Linked DNA regions of Arabidopsis thaliana. The protein of the gene in region 2 interacts with the protein of the main gene of each other region in a biochemical or structural test. Each region holds a gene or a part of one and is shown on either strand. Other genes may lie near its edges. The genes, in order: AT3G11630, ROC4 and SERAT2;1.

The links.
Region 1: the proteins of ROC4 (region 2) and AT3G11630 form a complex in vitro, tested with the Arabidopsis thaliana proteins (one study listed by BioGRID).
Region 3: the proteins of ROC4 (region 2) and SERAT2;1 form a complex in vitro, tested with the Arabidopsis thaliana proteins (one study listed by BioGRID).

Annotation. Positions count from the first base shown.
Region 1 is NC_003074.8:3,669,903-3,675,461, forward strand, and holds AT3G11630 (Thioredoxin superfamily protein), read left to right. Parts: upstream 1-2,133; 5' UTR 2,134-2,286; coding exon 2,287-2,493; intron 2,494-2,876; coding exon 2,877-2,951; intron 2,952-3,112; coding exon 3,113-3,194; intron 3,195-3,289; coding exon 3,290-3,369; intron 3,370-3,493; coding exon 3,494-3,619; intron 3,620-3,713; coding exon 3,714-3,827; intron 3,828-3,918; coding exon 3,919-4,035; 3' UTR 4,036-4,257; downstream 4,258-5,559. Other genes in the region: AT3G11620 (alpha/beta-Hydrolases superfamily protein), read right to left, coding at 158-208, 368-515, 607-689, 787-846, 976-1,026, 1,133-1,183, 1,294-1,322, 1,446-1,517 and 2 more; AT3G11640 (uncharacterized protein), read left to right, coding at 4,599-5,159. UniProt on the Arabidopsis thaliana protein: Thiol-specific peroxidase that catalyzes the reduction of hydrogen peroxide and organic hydroperoxides to water and alcohols, respectively. Plays a role in cell protection against oxidative stress by detoxifying peroxides.
Region 2 is NC_003074.8:22,970,848-22,976,795, reverse strand, and holds ROC4 (rotamase CYP 4), read right to left. Parts: upstream 3,793-5,948; coding exon 3,704-3,792; intron 3,522-3,703; coding exon 3,501-3,521; intron 3,233-3,500; exon of another isoform or gene 3,138-3,232; coding exon 3,035-3,137; intron 2,841-3,034; coding exon 2,652-2,840; intron 2,575-2,651; coding exon 2,421-2,574; intron 2,334-2,420; coding exon 2,245-2,333; intron 2,154-2,244; coding exon 2,099-2,153; intron 2,006-2,098; coding exon 1,920-2,005; intron 1,813-1,919; coding exon 1,657-1,812; 3' UTR 1,469-1,656; downstream 1-1,468. Other genes in the region: AT3G62040 (Haloacid dehalogenase-like hydrolase (HAD) superfamily protein), read left to right, coding at 588-680, 758-883, 975-1,172, 1,247-1,468; GLP10 (germin-like protein 10), read left to right, coding at 4,604-4,715, 4,803-5,353; AT3G62010 (metal ion-binding protein), read right to left, coding at 5,647-5,779, 5,884-5,948. UniProt on the Arabidopsis thaliana protein: PPIases accelerate the folding of proteins. It catalyzes the cis-trans isomerization of proline imidic peptide bonds in oligopeptides. Required for the light-induced increase of thiol accumulation.
Region 3 is NC_003070.9:20,909,963-20,914,983, reverse strand, and holds SERAT2;1 (serine acetyltransferase 2;1), read right to left. Parts: upstream 2,869-5,021; 5' UTR 2,823-2,868; coding exon of another isoform or gene 2,814-2,822; 5' UTR 2,749-2,813; coding exon of another isoform or gene 2,707-2,748; 5' UTR 2,607-2,706; coding exon 1,662-2,606; 3' UTR 1,419-1,661; downstream 1-1,418. Other genes in the region: AT1G55917 (uncharacterized protein), read left to right, coding at 2,707-2,748, 2,814-2,822, 2,926-2,936, 2,971-2,995, 3,118-3,144, 3,202-3,248, 3,835-3,859. UniProt on the Arabidopsis thaliana protein: Serine acetyltransferase which catalyzes the formation of O-acetyl-L-serine from acetyl-CoA and L-serine. Also displays O-acetylserine (thio1)-lyase activity in vitro. May be involved in detoxification process by mediating the production of glutathione.

The DNA.
Region 1 (5,559 bases), about 19 Mb from region 2:
AATGAAACAGTGGATCGTCACCTAGAATGCTTTAGTTGGAGATCAACTATAGGGCAAGCTTGGTCATGTTGTAGAGCTTTCAAGTAAACACTTTGCATACTTTGAATTCAAAATGAGACTCTAAACTCTATACAACACATTGTTGAAAGAAGAGTACCTCTCTAAACTCTGACTTTGCCATGAAGAGAACATTGCGCATGGTGTGATACTGCAAGCATCAGATGAAGTTAAGTCGTCTGAATAGTTAGTAGGGAATAAGAACTTAAAGTATCAAGAAAAGAAGATGTAATGGCCATCTTCAAGTCTTTATACAACTAGGTTCAAGTGTAAAACCCAAGAAAATCAGTGAATATGAGATAATCAATACCTGCCTCAAGTGAGTGCAGGTAGCTTGAACAGCAGTATCAGACCATGAAGCTCCAATGGATTTAGATACAAGCAGCCGTGCAGCTGACATAGGTAAAAGTCTCAGCGATGCAATCAGAAAACTTGCTGTAGCCGACAGAACAGAAGACCTGCACAACATGATAACGATTTCACAACATTCTAAATAAAGACTGATTGGTTCTTTCCTATCGAGGATTCGTATTGAGAACAAAAGCTCACGCTGCAAGTTTGCCAATTAATGATTGCTTTGTTGATTGTTGGTTCAAAGTCAAAAATGGATATAGGCCAATGCAATATACCACCTGCAAAGCATTCCAGAGAATAATATAAGAAAAATCACATAGCACTGAAAGAAATTGTGATGGAGAAAGTACTACTCTTAGAGGAAGCCATCTATACCTTGTCCGAGAATTTCTTCAATAACTCAAGGGATATATAAGACCCAATAGAATGCCCAACCTACCAAGATCAATTAAGCTTAGAGTTGTAAATTTTCATGAAAATCTGGAAATCCATCCAACTAATGGACATATATATTTTGGTCATAAGAAGCAATATGTCAATGGCTTATACACATGACAGTCTTACCAATATTATTGGAACTTTCACACTCTCCAACTCCTGTCTGATAAAATCAATCTGTATGATAACTAACAGATTAAGATCTTAACTTCACAGGATGAACAATACAAGAACCTAAAGGCTTTCAAATCCAAGAGCAATGAAGAAAAATGATTTTTATTACCTTATGATCAATTTGTTCTTGAAATGAAAATAGCCTCCCAGACTCCCAGTCCTAAAAGTGAAAATAATCAAGTATCATGAAAGCCTATCAAACTAAGATATTATATGAAGAGAACCATCAAAGTTTACACACAGTAAAACCTGAAACCAAAGTTAACGTACCTTGCTCGTGTGAGATATTTGCCCAATAGCTACACAAATAAAACAAACCACTCCACCATTAGAGATCAGAAGAACAAACTCAAACTCAGAAATAAACAGCTTCCATCTTAAGGACTCAAAGAAATCAAACTCGAAAAGTAGAGCAGCCATACCAATTACAGAAGCATTTCCACCAAGAAACTCGTATAAAGATTCCAAAAAGTCCTTGTAAAATGACACAACTCCTGAAAAATTACAAGCCAATGTATGAAGCACACTAGTATATACACGTGCATGCATAAGAGTCTTGAGCATAATAATGAAACCTGGATTTCCCGGAATAAACAATACATGGAATGTGGGATTCTCAGCTTGAATTTCCATCATCTCCGTCATCGAACTTTGATCACAAATACAAAAAACAAAACAAAAAGTGTAACTATAGTCAAAGAAATTAGAAAATTTCGTAAAAGATTAATGTAACAATACCCAGAAACTCTGCACAATCTGGATTTAACATGTCTTTTAGTTTCATTCATCAATTTGTTTTGAGTCTCCATGTCTCCGGTCACGCGATTCAACTTATATCTTCTCTCAGAACTGTCAACACTTGAAAGGAGAAGATCGAGAGAATTAATGAGACAACAGAGAAACCACTAAAAATCAAAACTTTGCAAAATAAGTGAAGAAGCCTTTTAAAGTAAACCAAGTGAAGAGAGCACAACAATGCACCTGAAACAACAGGAGTAGATTAGATACTTTGGAGAACTGAACCACCGATCGGAGGAAGAAAGTAACGGAGAGACGGAGTTACCCAAGGTAGAAGAAGAAGACGCATATTTGCAGCAATAGTAATACGACCTCGTTTTGAGTAACGCGACGTCGTTTTATGAGTTTGGGTGTCGTCAGGCTTATCTCCACCTCATACTTCCACTACAAAGAGAGGTGATTGACAGATAGATAAGAGTGTTTGGTAGCTCAGACTCAGAGAGTCACAAAGTGTGTGTAGCAGCAATGGCGTCTGTTGCTTCTTCAACTACTCTCATCTCTTCTCCCTCTTCTAGGGTTTTTCCAGCAAAGTCTTCACTTTCCTCTCCATCTGTTTCTTTCCTTCGAACCCTTTCTTCTCCTTCCGCATCTGCTTCTCTCCGCTCCGGATTTGCTCGACGCTCTTCCCTCAGCTCCACTTCTCGTCGGAGCTTTGCTGTCAAAGCCCAGGCCGTAAGTTTATCTAAATGTCGATACTTTTCTTATTCGATGTCATTGAAATCTGAATTCATTAGCCTGTTATAGATTTCACTCTCTTCCTACTTGTTAGCCCTATAGGTTTTGGGGAAATAGTTAACGATTTATAGGTTATGCGACCGTGTTTCTGCAGATTACTCGAAAAGTTCAGAAATTTGAGTGACATTTTCGTTTAGGGTTGTTAATTTCTCTGGTGAAGTGAAATTGAGTGACATATGAGCTATACTCATTGACTGATTAGTATGTTCGGATGAGGTCTATGTAGTTTTGGTATAGTACCATGGTTATCTGATTGTCAATTTGACTGATCTTTCTCCTTAGATTTGATGTGTTAACGAGTTTTAATTTGGTGATTATAGGATGATCTTCCACTGGTTGGAAACAAGGCGCCTGATTTTGAGGCAGAGGCTGTGTTTGATCAAGAGTTCATCAAGGTACTTACAGCAGTTATCAATCACAGTTGCTGCTTCTAGTTAATCTGAGATTAAGTTTAGTTTTGAAGCTGAATGAGTAGTCTTTAGTGTTTTTTATTTAGTGAGTATATGTCTTATTGTGATTGGAAACTAATTGGTAACTGATGAATGTATGGTTTCAGGTTAAGCTCTCTGATTACATTGGAAAGAAGTATGTGATTCTCTTTTTCTACCCATTGGACTTTACTTTCGTCTGCCCAACAGGTTAGCATTGCTCGAGAAGTATATCAAAATTGAATATCCAAGGTTCCCTCATCCTTGAGTCCTAATCTTTCTCATTTTTTCCTTATGTCTTTTAGAGATTACTGCCTTCAGTGACCGGCATTCAGAATTTGAGAAGTTGAACACCGAAGTATTAGGTGTTTCTGTCGATAGTGTGGTAAGTATCACTATACATTTACTATGTTCTCATTTTACTCAGTTCCTCATCCTTGGTTGACATCACCATGTTCTTATCTGTTTGCAAATTTTTGATTCATTCTTATTTCTGTGTGTCCTCGTAGTTCTCTCACCTTGCATGGGTCCAAACAGACAGGAAATCTGGAGGGCTTGGTGATCTGAACTATCCCCTTATTTCAGATGTCACTAAATCAATCTCAAAGTCGTTCGGAGTGCTCATCCATGATCAGGTAATTGTTAGCCTTTAAATCTTGGCTACCTTCCTTTAAACTTTCGAAGTGTTTGGGATAAATGAAAACAAGAACTTTGTTTGTGTAAGAACAGGGAATAGCACTGAGAGGACTTTTCATAATCGACAAGGAAGGAGTGATCCAACATTCCACCATCAACAATCTTGGTATTGGCCGAAGCGTTGATGAGACAATGAGAACCCTCCAGGTAAAGATACAAATAAATACACACAACTCCAAAAACCGCTCTTTCCTTTCACTCGATTTCCGGTATGCTTAATACGTTTTCAATGTTGCAGGCATTACAGTACATCCAGGAAAACCCGGATGAAGTCTGCCCAGCAGGATGGAAGCCGGGTGAGAAGTCAATGAAACCCGACCCAAAACTCAGCAAAGAGTACTTCTCAGCTATTTAGAAACTCTACTATGATAGCAAAAAGGTACAATCTTTGTTATATGTGAGCAGAGTTTTTTTTCTTGTACGCTAAAACAATCCTTTGTTTGATTCTCACTTTGTCCCCAAAATTATAATAAAAAACTTTTTCCGTTAATGGAAGTCTTATTGTGTTACGCCTACAAATTCATATTCAGTTGATCACTTACCTAAGCATGTACACTGTACATATTAATGGTAAAAATCAAGACCATTTTGTGATCTTCTTTGATAGCACAGAGAAGCCATTGTTCTACCATATACGCTAGTCATATTAAAGGACCTGTAAAAAAACCAAAGGACAGAAATTATAAAACTATCATTTCTCTTTCTTTAATGCATCTATATGATAATTATGATCCTTAAAAAGCTGATGCTACCTGTAAAAAAGTTGCTCATGTGTCCCCCTGCCAACAAATTCCAACATCATTAATCATCATCAACCCAACCTCCTCCGTCAACTGATGACCGGTAAACGCCGGTCAACTCTCCTGCTTTAACTACACTACGTCCCGGTCATTATTTTTTCACACTCTCTCTCAAACGATGCATGCCCTCACCAACTCCGGCGCCGTACTTCTCGCCGTGTTACTCTTCTTTCTGCTCATCCTTTTCGCCGAGCTCTCTTACATCTTTTGTTGCCGCACCGGATCTTTACCGTCTCCGGCAAGTAAAGAGGTTCTTTTCCAATTCTTGATGTGTTGCAAGAAGAATCACCACCACTCTCGTATTGAGCCATGCACCGGTATTGTTTCTGTACAGATGGAGGAGGATGTTGTTGCTGCGGCGGTGCCTGAGGAGGAATTCGCGGCGGCGGACAAGTGGCGGGTGTCGAGGCTTCTCTTCACAATTGAAGAAGAGGATTTGGAACTGGAAGATGATGATGATGATGTGATCTCTGCGGAGGTAGATAATGGCTTCGAAGTCCAAGTTGATATTCCGGTGGAGTATTCCGGCGATCCAACTCCGTTCTTGACGCCGTGCAACTCACCTCCTTACTTTACTCCTTCGCCATCTCCTGGTCGGGATATGGATGACGTCATTGATGTATATGAAGTCAGCAGCAGAAACTGTTGTTTCAATTTCCAAGGCTCTCAGATGTGTTAACATTTTTTGCATAATTCCAATGGTTTAACAGATTAGGTGGAACATTTTCGTAATTATTTACAGGTTTTGTCGGAATTATTTGTTCTTGTTTTTGGTTTATATAACTTTGTCGTCATTTTTTCCCCGGCAATTTGAATATTCATCAACACAACTTGGTTCAACGCGTATATATGTTTGGTTCTACGTACATTAGAATAGGACGTAATGTGTTAAAGTCGTGGAGATGACGACGCTATGAAGTATGGAATGGTTCATTGAAACTTTTGTTTGGTTATGTTTTATTTTGTTGTTACCTAAACTAAATGAACCAAATTATTTTGGTTCCCTTGACTTTGATTTCCGTTTAGTTTCAAGTGTGATTAAATTACTAAATGTTTAGGTATTTTTGGGTCTTGTAATT
Region 2 (5,948 bases):
AAACCGGAAGTTAAAGGGTATTTATGATACAAACCCTAATGCATGCAAAAAAAAAACTAGAATGATATCATATGTTTCAAAACGATATTAGATAAAGACTAGTAACCAAATATTCTATGTGTCCTAACAAAATCCACTACCTTTTTTGAATTGTGTATATAAATACAACCAACTCCTTCACATTGTTCATAAGCTCTCTCTCTCTTTTCATTATTAATCTTCCCGTCTATAATTCATTAATTCTCGTTAGCAGCTTCTTCTTCGTTGGATTCGTAAAATGGATGGATTTGGAGCTAACTACGAGTGTTTGTTCTTTGGTAAATAATACACATATAAACTATAAACCAATCATCTTCAATCTTATTTCCCTTGTGCAATTTTTTTTTTGTAAAGGAATTAAAACTCTTATCTGTTGTTGCAGATATGGACGATACTTTATACCCTTTGAGCATCGGAATCAACTTAGCTTGTCGAAACAACATCCAAGGAAAAGAGACTTAACATTTCAAGATGCTTGTCTTTACTTAATCATTAACGGCCATATAACTGAATTTTGTATCCCTTTGTTTTCGTTATTTGCAGAGTTCATGCTTAACCAACTCGGAATCGAAGAGAGTGAAGTTCCAAAGTTGTGTTTGGATCTTTACAAAGAATATGGAACCACCATGGCTGGTCTCAAGGTAACTTATTTCAAAATTCTTGATCTTAAACATTCACTGAGGAAACTGAAATAACCAAAACAGAGGCGTACTTATAGGTTATGGGTTACGAATTCGACAACGATGAATTCCATGAATATGTCCATGGAAGACTTCCCTACGAGAAACTAAAACCTGATCCACTCCTCCGTAACCTTCTCCTCTCTATGCCTCACCGTAAAATCGTAAGTTTCTTCCTTCTTCAAGCTTTGTACTCGAATTCTCCACTGAATCTTTTTTTCTCATCCTCTGTTTTTTCATTTTCCCTTCGAACAGATCTTTACTAACGCAGACAAAGCTCACGCAACACGAGCTCTCAACAGATTGGGTCTTGAGGACTGCTTTGAAGGAATCATTTGCTTCGAAACACTAAACCCTTCTTCTGATTCAAACACTCAAATCCTCTGTAAACCCTCTGTTGAAGCATTTGAAGCTGCAATTCGCATTGCAGACATTGTTGATCCACGCAAAACGGTAATAGAAAAGTCACTATGATCTTTCACAGTTTCAGATACCAAACTTAAAAGTCTATATCTTTTTCTTTTCAGATATTCTTCGATGACAGTATTCGTAACATCGCTAGTGCTAAAGCAACAGGGCTAAAAACCGTGTTTGTGGGGGAATCAGTGCTAGTTCCAGGTGCTGACTATGCACTAAGCAGCATTCATAACATAAAGGAAGCAATACCTGATTTATGGGAAGACAACAAAGATGAGAAGCTCGAGCCAATTGTTCAGCAAGCCGCGGTTGCAACCATGGTCAATGCTTAGAGAGACATTCTAATAAGAATCCCACATCGATTAAAAGAACTTATAACTCATGTATCCGAAATATATAATAAATAAAAGACCAGAATTTGAAAATCTTTGGCTTTTTGATGGTTTGGATTCCTCAATAGTCATAATAGCAAAAAACAGAACAAAGATGGCAAAGACAATGCATCGGTCAATAGTGATTATCAAGCATCTAACGGGAGCTCTCCGCAGGCATAGATTCTACAACCTTTCTTGGGAACATCGAAAGCGCGAGTCTCTTGAGACTCAAGAGTCCTAACAAGCTTCATACCTTCAATTACTTGTCCAAACACGACATGCTTGTTATCTAACCATGAAGTCTGCACAAAAAAACAAATTTGTGAAATAAATATTAATCAAAATGGGAAGGCAAACATATGAAAGATCGATAACTCTATAGATGATGTGAAGAATTGAGAATCTTTACCTTGACGGTACAAATGAAAAACTGGCTTCCATTAGTATTAGGACCAGCGTTTGCCATGCTCAAGATTCCAGGTCCAGTATGCTTCACTGCAAATGCGGAAAACAAAACCATTAATACCTCAAAGAAGTAATGCCATATTTGCAGAAAACCAGAGTTTTTCTTTGTTTGTGAGTACTTACGGGTGAAGTTTTCATCTTCGAACTTGGCACCGTAAATACTAATACCTCCAGTACCCTGTGAGACCATATCGAAAAAGACGATTTAGAAAGAAATATCAAAATAACAAACAAACAGTCTGAAATGTAACTTGTTGGAAAGAACTTACATTTCCCTCGGTGAAATCACCTCCTTGGATCATGAAATCCTTAATAATACGATGGAAAGAGGAACCCTTGTACCCGTATTTCTTCTCACCTGAAGAAATCAATTTCCTTTAGACAATGGTTTTGATTGTGTCTATAAAGTTCCAAACTTTAAACATCATTTTGATAAGGAGCTTACCAGTACACAAGGCACGGAAGTTTTCAACGGTTTTAGGCACAACTTCTCCAAAGAGACCCATCACAATTCTGCCAGCAACTTCACCTCCAATTTCCACATCAAAGTAAACCTTGTTTGTCACTTTAGCTTGAGGTTCGATTACTTCTTCTTCCTCCTACAAACCAAGTTCAAAAATCAACACGAATCCATAAGGCAACAGAACATGAATGATTTATGAAAAAAGTAACTTACAGCAGCCATGGATTTAACACAAGCGGTTCTCTGATGCTTGGTGGTCGCATAAACCCCAGAAAATTGCTTAATGGGTGATGCATAGTGCAATCTCGAAGATAATGCAATTCCAGAGGAACGAGCTCCAAAGCAAACTGATTGAGTTGTTCGATTTGCAGAAACTAATTGCGACTTAACACCGAACCCAATCTACACAGAAAACCAAACAAAAGAGATTTAAGACCAAAAAAAACCCACAAGAACAGGAATAGTATCCGATTGAAATTTCGTTTTAACTCACAGAGACACACTACTTAAAGTGAAGAAGAAAAAAGGATAGAATTCAAAGCATAAATCTTCGACGAAAATTGAAAAAACCGCAAATGTAGGATTAAGTTTAGAACCTGGGCAATGGAGCGGGAAGTGTGAACCATCTGCATAGAAGACGAAGAAGCCATTGAATGATTAAAGATGAAGACTTTTTGTTGGTTCGCTTTAGACAACAGTCTTTAGTTTTGCAGATAAGAGAACCGCCTCGAGCCTTGTTTTTTAAGTTAGCAACTCTATGGATTGGTGGTATCCTTAGCATCTCATGCTAACTTACGCCTAATGATAATGACAGCTAGAGGCCTATTTTTAATTTCTTTTAGGCCCAGCCCAAGTCATTTATCCAAATGCTTTCTCTCTTAAGTTACAACAAAAAATTGGGTTAGGGTTAAACCTGTGGTTGCGGATGACTATCAAGTACAATTGCCGTAGAAAGCCTTTTTTTATTATTTGCTGTAGAAAGCCTTTTTTTTTCTTTCTAAAGCACACAATTTTTAATTTTCCAAAATTTTGATATCATTCTCTGAAAATTTAACTGCTTACAGATTTTGGCATTTAATATTCCTAGAACAAAATCATGTTTTTATGAACAACATCATAAGACCAGCAAGATTAGTTTTGTCTATTATTTCACACTCAATAGATCAAAACCACAAACTCCAAGAACCAACAAAATTGTTCATGTTTTCATACACAAAGCTACTACAGTCTTTGGACATTATTTAAACACACATAATTTGCTGTACCATGCATCAGCAACTTTCGTCTCTCTTGGAGTTTGTAACAGCTTCTGTTGAGCACCGACTGCGTAAGGGAGAAGAAGTAAACGGAACATCAGCTAAGAGTTTTCGCCAAAGCCATTCAAAGCTTACATAAGGAAATTGTATTGCTGATGGGGGTGGGTTCCTTGAGTGCCAAGAGTACTTTGATATTTCTCATCCGCTAAGAGATTGTTTGGTAGCTGAGAGGGTTTTAGTTAGATTTATCTGTGGTTGTGGATGAGTGAAATTTACTGGTTTGCTTTCACTGGTTGTCGTGTGCTAATTTCGACTCTACCCCTTGCCAAGGCACATTCACAACCATGTAACTGTAGGGTAATTGAGTAACTTTCTTTGTCAATCCAGGAAAAACATCACTTGGGCCGCACCATGGCCCAAACAAGGCACGGATCTGCTTTAACCTAACACCTCGATTTAATTTACCCTATCGATGATTACCACAAGTGGGCCTATTTGTTTATCTACCAGGCCCAGCCCATCATGATAAGAAAATGCTTGTCACTCAAGTTTTTAATTAACTTTCCAACTCCTTACCAAGAATTTGAAACTGAAACTTTTTATTATTGATCTATAGATCTCTGATCTGGAATATATTTCGGTTAAACCAAGAATTCTAGCTAACGAAAACCAAAACTTAAAAGTTAGATTAAATATGTACATGTGTAAGAAAACGACATCACATCTTTCCTCCAACTCCCAAGCTTTGCTTTGCGTTTAAGTTAGTTAAGCTATGCATAATTTCTCCTCAAACAGATTCAAATATTTATAACGATCCAAATCGAAACAAAAACATATCACACAGTTTCAAATTAGAGCTTCAAATCTAGTTACTTGTTCTTCTACAGTACATCATCAAAAGTCAAAACCATGGACTCGAGATGTTTTGGCTTCTTCTTTACTTTGTTATCTCTAAATGTGATTGTTCTTGCTTACGATCCTGACACACTTCAAGATCTCTGCGTTGCGGATCGCACTTCAGGTACACATATATCTTCAAATTAAATTTACTGTCTACTTTGAATGATTTGTTAAAGTAATGAAATGTCGTCGTTTTTGGATTATGTAGGGATAAAAGTGAATGGTTTCACATGTAAACCCGAATCAAACATCACCGCTTCAGATTTTTTCTTCGCCGGAATCGGAAAACCCGCCGTCGTTAACAACACAGTCGGGTCAGCCGTCACGGGAGCAAACGTAGAGAAGATCGCAGGGCTTAACACGCTCGGAGTCTCACTCGCGCGTATCGACTACGCTCCCGGAGGTTTAAACCCGCCGCACACGCATCCACGCGCCACCGAAGTGATCTTCGTTTTGGAAGGCGAGCTTGACGTTGGATTCATAACGACGGCGAACAAGCTCTTCGCTAAGACGGTGAAGAAAGGAGAAGTGTTCGTCTTCCCTAGAGGATTGATTCATTACCAGAAAAACAACGACAAAGCGAAACCGGCGTCGGTGATCTCTGCGTTCAACAGTCAATTACCGGGAACACAATCGATCGCCGCCACGCTATTCACAGCCACTCCGGCGATTCCGGATCACGTTTTAACGACGACGTTTCAAATCGGAACGAAAGAAATCGAAAAAATCAAATCTAAGTTTGCTCCCAAGAAAGTCTAAAAATCGCGTCGTTATATATATATATTTTAAATTTTATTAATTGGTTTTTAAATTTTAATAAAGGAAAAAATAAACCTTGTTCATTAGAATAACCTGCTGAATCAGCTGGAGGGTTTTAAGCAATGCATATAAAGGTACAAACCTATAAACAGAGATCTCTCTACAAAGCAGACGAAGGAGAAGAGAAGGCTGTACAATTTTTTATACACTAAAAGCTCTGTATAAACCAAACAACATAACTTTGCCTAGATTTATACATATATGTATGGACACTGAAACCCAAAATCACACTTTTATTTATCTATCCTGAGGTTATGACAGAGATGTCCAAGTTCCGGCCGTGACTTCATCCAATCCAAGAATTTCATTTCTTCCGGCGACGTGCTATAGAGGTATGATCTGAATGTTATCAGGTAAAAGTAGCGCCTGCTCATACAAAACAATCATATTATTTGTTTGGATATGGGAAGAAACGAAACTCATGGTTTGGTTGGATCGTTTTAACCGGATTGAAGTTGTAAGTAACTAACCTTAAGGCTTTAACACCCATGTCCATGATGTATGAACGGTTTTCATCTTTTGTAATAGGAAGTTT
Region 3 (5,021 bases), on a different chromosome or scaffold from region 2:
AAATACAAAAGCCTTCTCCAACCCCACTCTATAATTGACTCAAAAATAGAGATTTATGCAGATTGACTCTATATATAGAGCAACTCTATTCTCTACTCTATTTTTGAGTTCAATTTTTTTATTTATACTTTAGTCCCTCAAATTTAAACTTTTTATTTAATACATATAATTATTTTACAAACAACAACTACAACACATAATTTTATAAACTTAACAAACAATTAAGTATTAAATTTAAAATAATTTTATAAACTTAACAAGAAACAAGTACCTAATTTAAAATAAACAACATAAAAAAACTAAAACATCAAATTAACTAGTGATTTAATAGTCCGGTAAATTGCTTGTGGATCCGCCAAGATAGTCGAAATATTATCCAAATGAAGTAGATGGAGGAAGAGTTTCTTGATCTTGTCGTTGGACACATCGTTTTTGTAAAAGCCGTACTTGTTCACTCTCAAAATATGCCCGAACATGTGAGTTTTGAAAGGAATCCAAATCACAAAATAAAAATTTGTAATGTTTTATTATTGTTATATGATGTAATGTTTTTTAATAAATAAGTAGTGTTTAATTTAAATAATGTCATATTTTCTGGAAATTTTTGCAAATCTATAATATATGAGGTCAAATTGTAAATTATATAATTAAAAGGAATTAGTATATAAATTAGAAATAGAATATTTTTAAGAATATTCTTTTTTAGAGTAGAAAATAGAGCTATACATTGGAGAGAAACCCACCTCAAAAATAGAGTAACTCTATTTTAGAGGTGGATATAGAGCTATACATTGGAGATGATCTTTATATAGAGAAGGAAGAGATCTAAGTTTCCTAAACTAAAATAAACATATATGTAAATAATATTTTTAGAGATAATATTAAACTTCCTAAACTCTAATATTAACATTTATTAATATTCTTCCAAATTCTTCTAGAATCATATCTTTTTGCCATATCTTGGCTTTGTGATCTCGGTCGATTTTCGGTTCTCTATATTCCAATGGACTCTTTATAATCTCTGTTTCTTTTTTTTAGTTTTTTTTTTTCCTGTGAAACTAATGTTTCTTCTGATTTAGCGATGGTTGATTGTAAGAAAAAACTAGGGTTTTGAATAAGTTTAGAACAAATGAAAACTTCTCTCTATGTTTGAGTTTTATAAGCGACTTTCTTTATTAGAGAAGAAATATCAAAAGTCATTTGCATTGGGAAATGAAAACACTTTAATTACGAAACCAGAACGTCATCAATACTATAGTAATGATGCTTTGTTCTGCCTCGTCCTTTAGTCTTCTTTCTAGTTTACGATGACTCATAATTACTTCTTCTGTGAGATTTTCCCATTTCTCCACCTTCCACGACTCCGGCGACGAAAGTAACCATTAGAAAACTATTGTTGGCGTGAGTTGGTTATACATGGCCCATTTAACAGTCCACTTTAAGGCCCAATTCACAATCCATGTTATTAACAAATATATTAATCCATAAAAGTGTACACATTCTTGATTCGCCTCGAGATAAACTAATCTCTAGTTTCTTCTTAAAGATCGATGAGCTTGATTTCAAGACTTGTTTGATTAGTACATAGTAAAATATTAAGAAATAGACAAGACTTGTTTCATCATCATCAGTTACAAGAAAGAAAGAAATACACATTTGTGTTAAATCACATAATCAGACCACTCGGTTAAATACGATGTCTGGTCCATAGTCAGACAAGGAATCTTATCATGTTTTCTCGGATTCTCTTTCCCACCAATCAACCTCGCCGGATTTCCAACCGCCGTCGTACGCGCCGGCACATCCTTAACCACCACCGACCCTGATCCAATCTTAGCTCCCTCACCGATTGTTATATTCCCCAATATACAACTCCCAGCTCCAATCAACACACCATCACCAATCTTCGGATGCCGATCACCACTCTGTTTCCCTGTTCCTCCCAAGGTCACTCCGTGTAGAATCGAAACATTGTCTCCAACCACCGCCGTCTCTCCGATCACCACGCCCGTCGCATGGTCTAAAAGAATCCCTTTTCCGATCTTCGCTCCGGGATGAATATCGACGGCGAAAGATTCTGATACTCTGTTTTGGATCAATAAAGCTACGATTTTTCTGTTCTGTTTCCAGAGGGTATGAGCTATTCGATGAGCTTGACAAGCGAGGAAGCCTTTGAAGCCCAAGAAGCAATGAACGTAGCTTATACAAGCTGGGTCTCTTTCTTTGACTGCTATAAGATCTTGCTTCGTGGATTCGATGATCTCAGGGCTTTCTTCTAAAACGCTTATGAACAGTTCGAAGAGTGTGTTGCTTGGTAGGTTTAAATTGCTGAGCTTTACGGAGAGGATGTGAGCTAAAGCAGACTCTAAAGATCGATGAGATGTGATCGAAGCGTAGTAGTAGTTTGATAAAATGGGTTCTTGTTTAACATCGGATTTGGCTTCTTCAAGCATCTTGATCCAGACATCATCGTCATCTTCGATTTGGGTGTGGTGAATCTTCCGGTTTACAGAGAAACCGGGTCGAAAGAAATTCTTGATGCAACAGAACCGGGAATCATCGTCTTGGGTATTACCGGTTCGGCATGTGTCTATGCATGTTGCCATGGTTTATGATTTGGAAGAAGAAAGAGTTTGAGATAAAGAAGAGAAGAGAGAATGGTTGTTGAGTGAAGAAGATGAACATAGCTTATATACACAGAGAGAGATGGCGGCGACCTTTGACTCTGACCCAAAAAAATCTCAAAAAGTAATTACAGTTTAATTAGCGCTCTCTAAATATTTTATTCTTTAATTATACACATTTTTCTGCAGATTAAGGAGGTAATGAATTATATAGTAAGTGAGATTAATATATATTTTTTTCCATACACAATTTTATTTTGGAAATGGTTTTATGTTTTTAATTTTATGATTTATTGTCCAGACAATTACGATGTTTACAATTTTGTATTTATTTTTGCATGATTAGTCTGCTTATCTACACATATCTAAGGGTCATTAGCCATCACATGTTTTTAGTGCCACCAACTTTTTCATAACAATAACATCAACTACTTATTATCTAGCTATTTTGTATGATATGTAATATAATTTTTTTTTTTTTGTTGGGTTGTAGAATTTAGAAGGCACTTGTAGTAAAATGGTTATAATTTCCAAATAATGGGGGGAAAAACCAAGAAAATTGGATCTATTATTAAAGTTGCCAAAAGGAGGAGGTTTTCAAAAGGAGGAGGTTTTCAAAGAAAGGTGACGTTAGTAATGACGTAAGTCTAAAGTTACGTGAAGCAGTCGCCCTTTGACTTTAACTCCTTATTTTCAAGGTTGTCTGAATCTAATCATTTTTTCACACTTTAATAATCTAATGCTAATACATGATTAATTTATACATAATTTAACTTGGAACTTTTTTACTCATTAATAATTTGATAACTACGTACGTGTTATTGACTGTTAGTCATAATAGAGTGAGTTTAGTTTACTCTACACACTCCATTTGTGTATATCTTTTTTTCGCGTATGGAAATTGTGAAAGCTACATTATGGTTGAAGATATCTCTATTCAGTACTCAATACTCAATAATGAAACTTGTGTAACTTTTATGATAATCAAATTATTCAATTGGGCAACGTAGATTACGTGACATTGTCATTTGCCTAATATTGTCCTTTGTGCACACCTTTATGTTGATGGATGGATTCAAATAAATAAAATTATCCGTTTTTCTTACTGCAAATAAGTTATCTTATCTTAGTTGGAATTTTGGATGTTTTGAAATGAGAAAACAACAACAATAAAATTCAAAAATATTAAACTTTTTTTTTTAAATGGCAGTAGAATAGTGGTGTCCATTGTTTGAGGACCCAATCTTTCGTTATCATTGTCCCTTATTAGGGTTTCTTTCAATTTTCAACCAGTAGTCAAGTAGATTTGGCTCTTCAAAATCATGAAAACACAAAATACTATTCAGTTAGAGAATTCGATTTGGTTCACAAAGAATATATGAACTTTCCCTTTCGAGTTACACAATTTTTTGGTTTCTAAAATTTATATTGAAAAATGTCGAATATCTCTTAGAATAAATCATATGAATAAATTTTATCTATTTAGCTAAAATATAATTGTGATGTGTTGAAGAATGGAGAATGACATGATGAAGAATGGACACTGTGAAACGTCAGGACACACAAAAAAACAACACAAATAATAAGATTGGAAGAGGATACCAATAGACTGGAACTTTAGTAGCACAATAAGGAGCTAAGATTGAGCATGATGCTTAATGAGGTTAAGTATCTGCTTCCTTGAGTCCTCTATCAGATAAGGGGCACTCGATATGATCCTAAGCTTTTTGATTTGGTACCATCTGCTAACAAAAGCAAAAGCAAAAACATCACCTTTTATGAAACTGAATCGCTGTTGAACCTTAAACATCAATTGATAGACAAAGAGTTTGTCAAAAGATCTTCAGAACCATCCCATTTGATGCACACTATGATCAGAAACAACACATGCATATATACTTCAGACTGAAGATACTATCTACTTTAGGGAAACTCATATTCATCAACACTCTAATGCTTCAACAGGTTTTTTAAACCTGAAAGTAAAATAGCCTCACCATTGCCTAACAAAAAGAACAGTTTTATAAGTTTCACAATTCTAACAAGTCCTAGTGAAACATACGTAATCTATTTCAGGAGCGTGGACATTAACGCACATGATATTTGAACAATTCTTCATTTGTGTTATTGTAGCTTGTTTTAACAGCCACGAATCATGTCTGAATTGATTTAAGAAAGAGCTAGGTACCTGAATTCACACGCGCAGACACACACACACACAATGTATGTAAATGATTGTTCACAAGAGCAGACAAAAACCTCAAAGTCTAACTGGGAAGTTTAGACCGCTTGATCTAATACCAAGGATAGAAAAGCACAATTCTATCAGGTTAGCTAAAGATTCTGCAAAGCAGGATTAGAAAAAAGTATAGCATTCTAGAAATCAAACAATAGAGG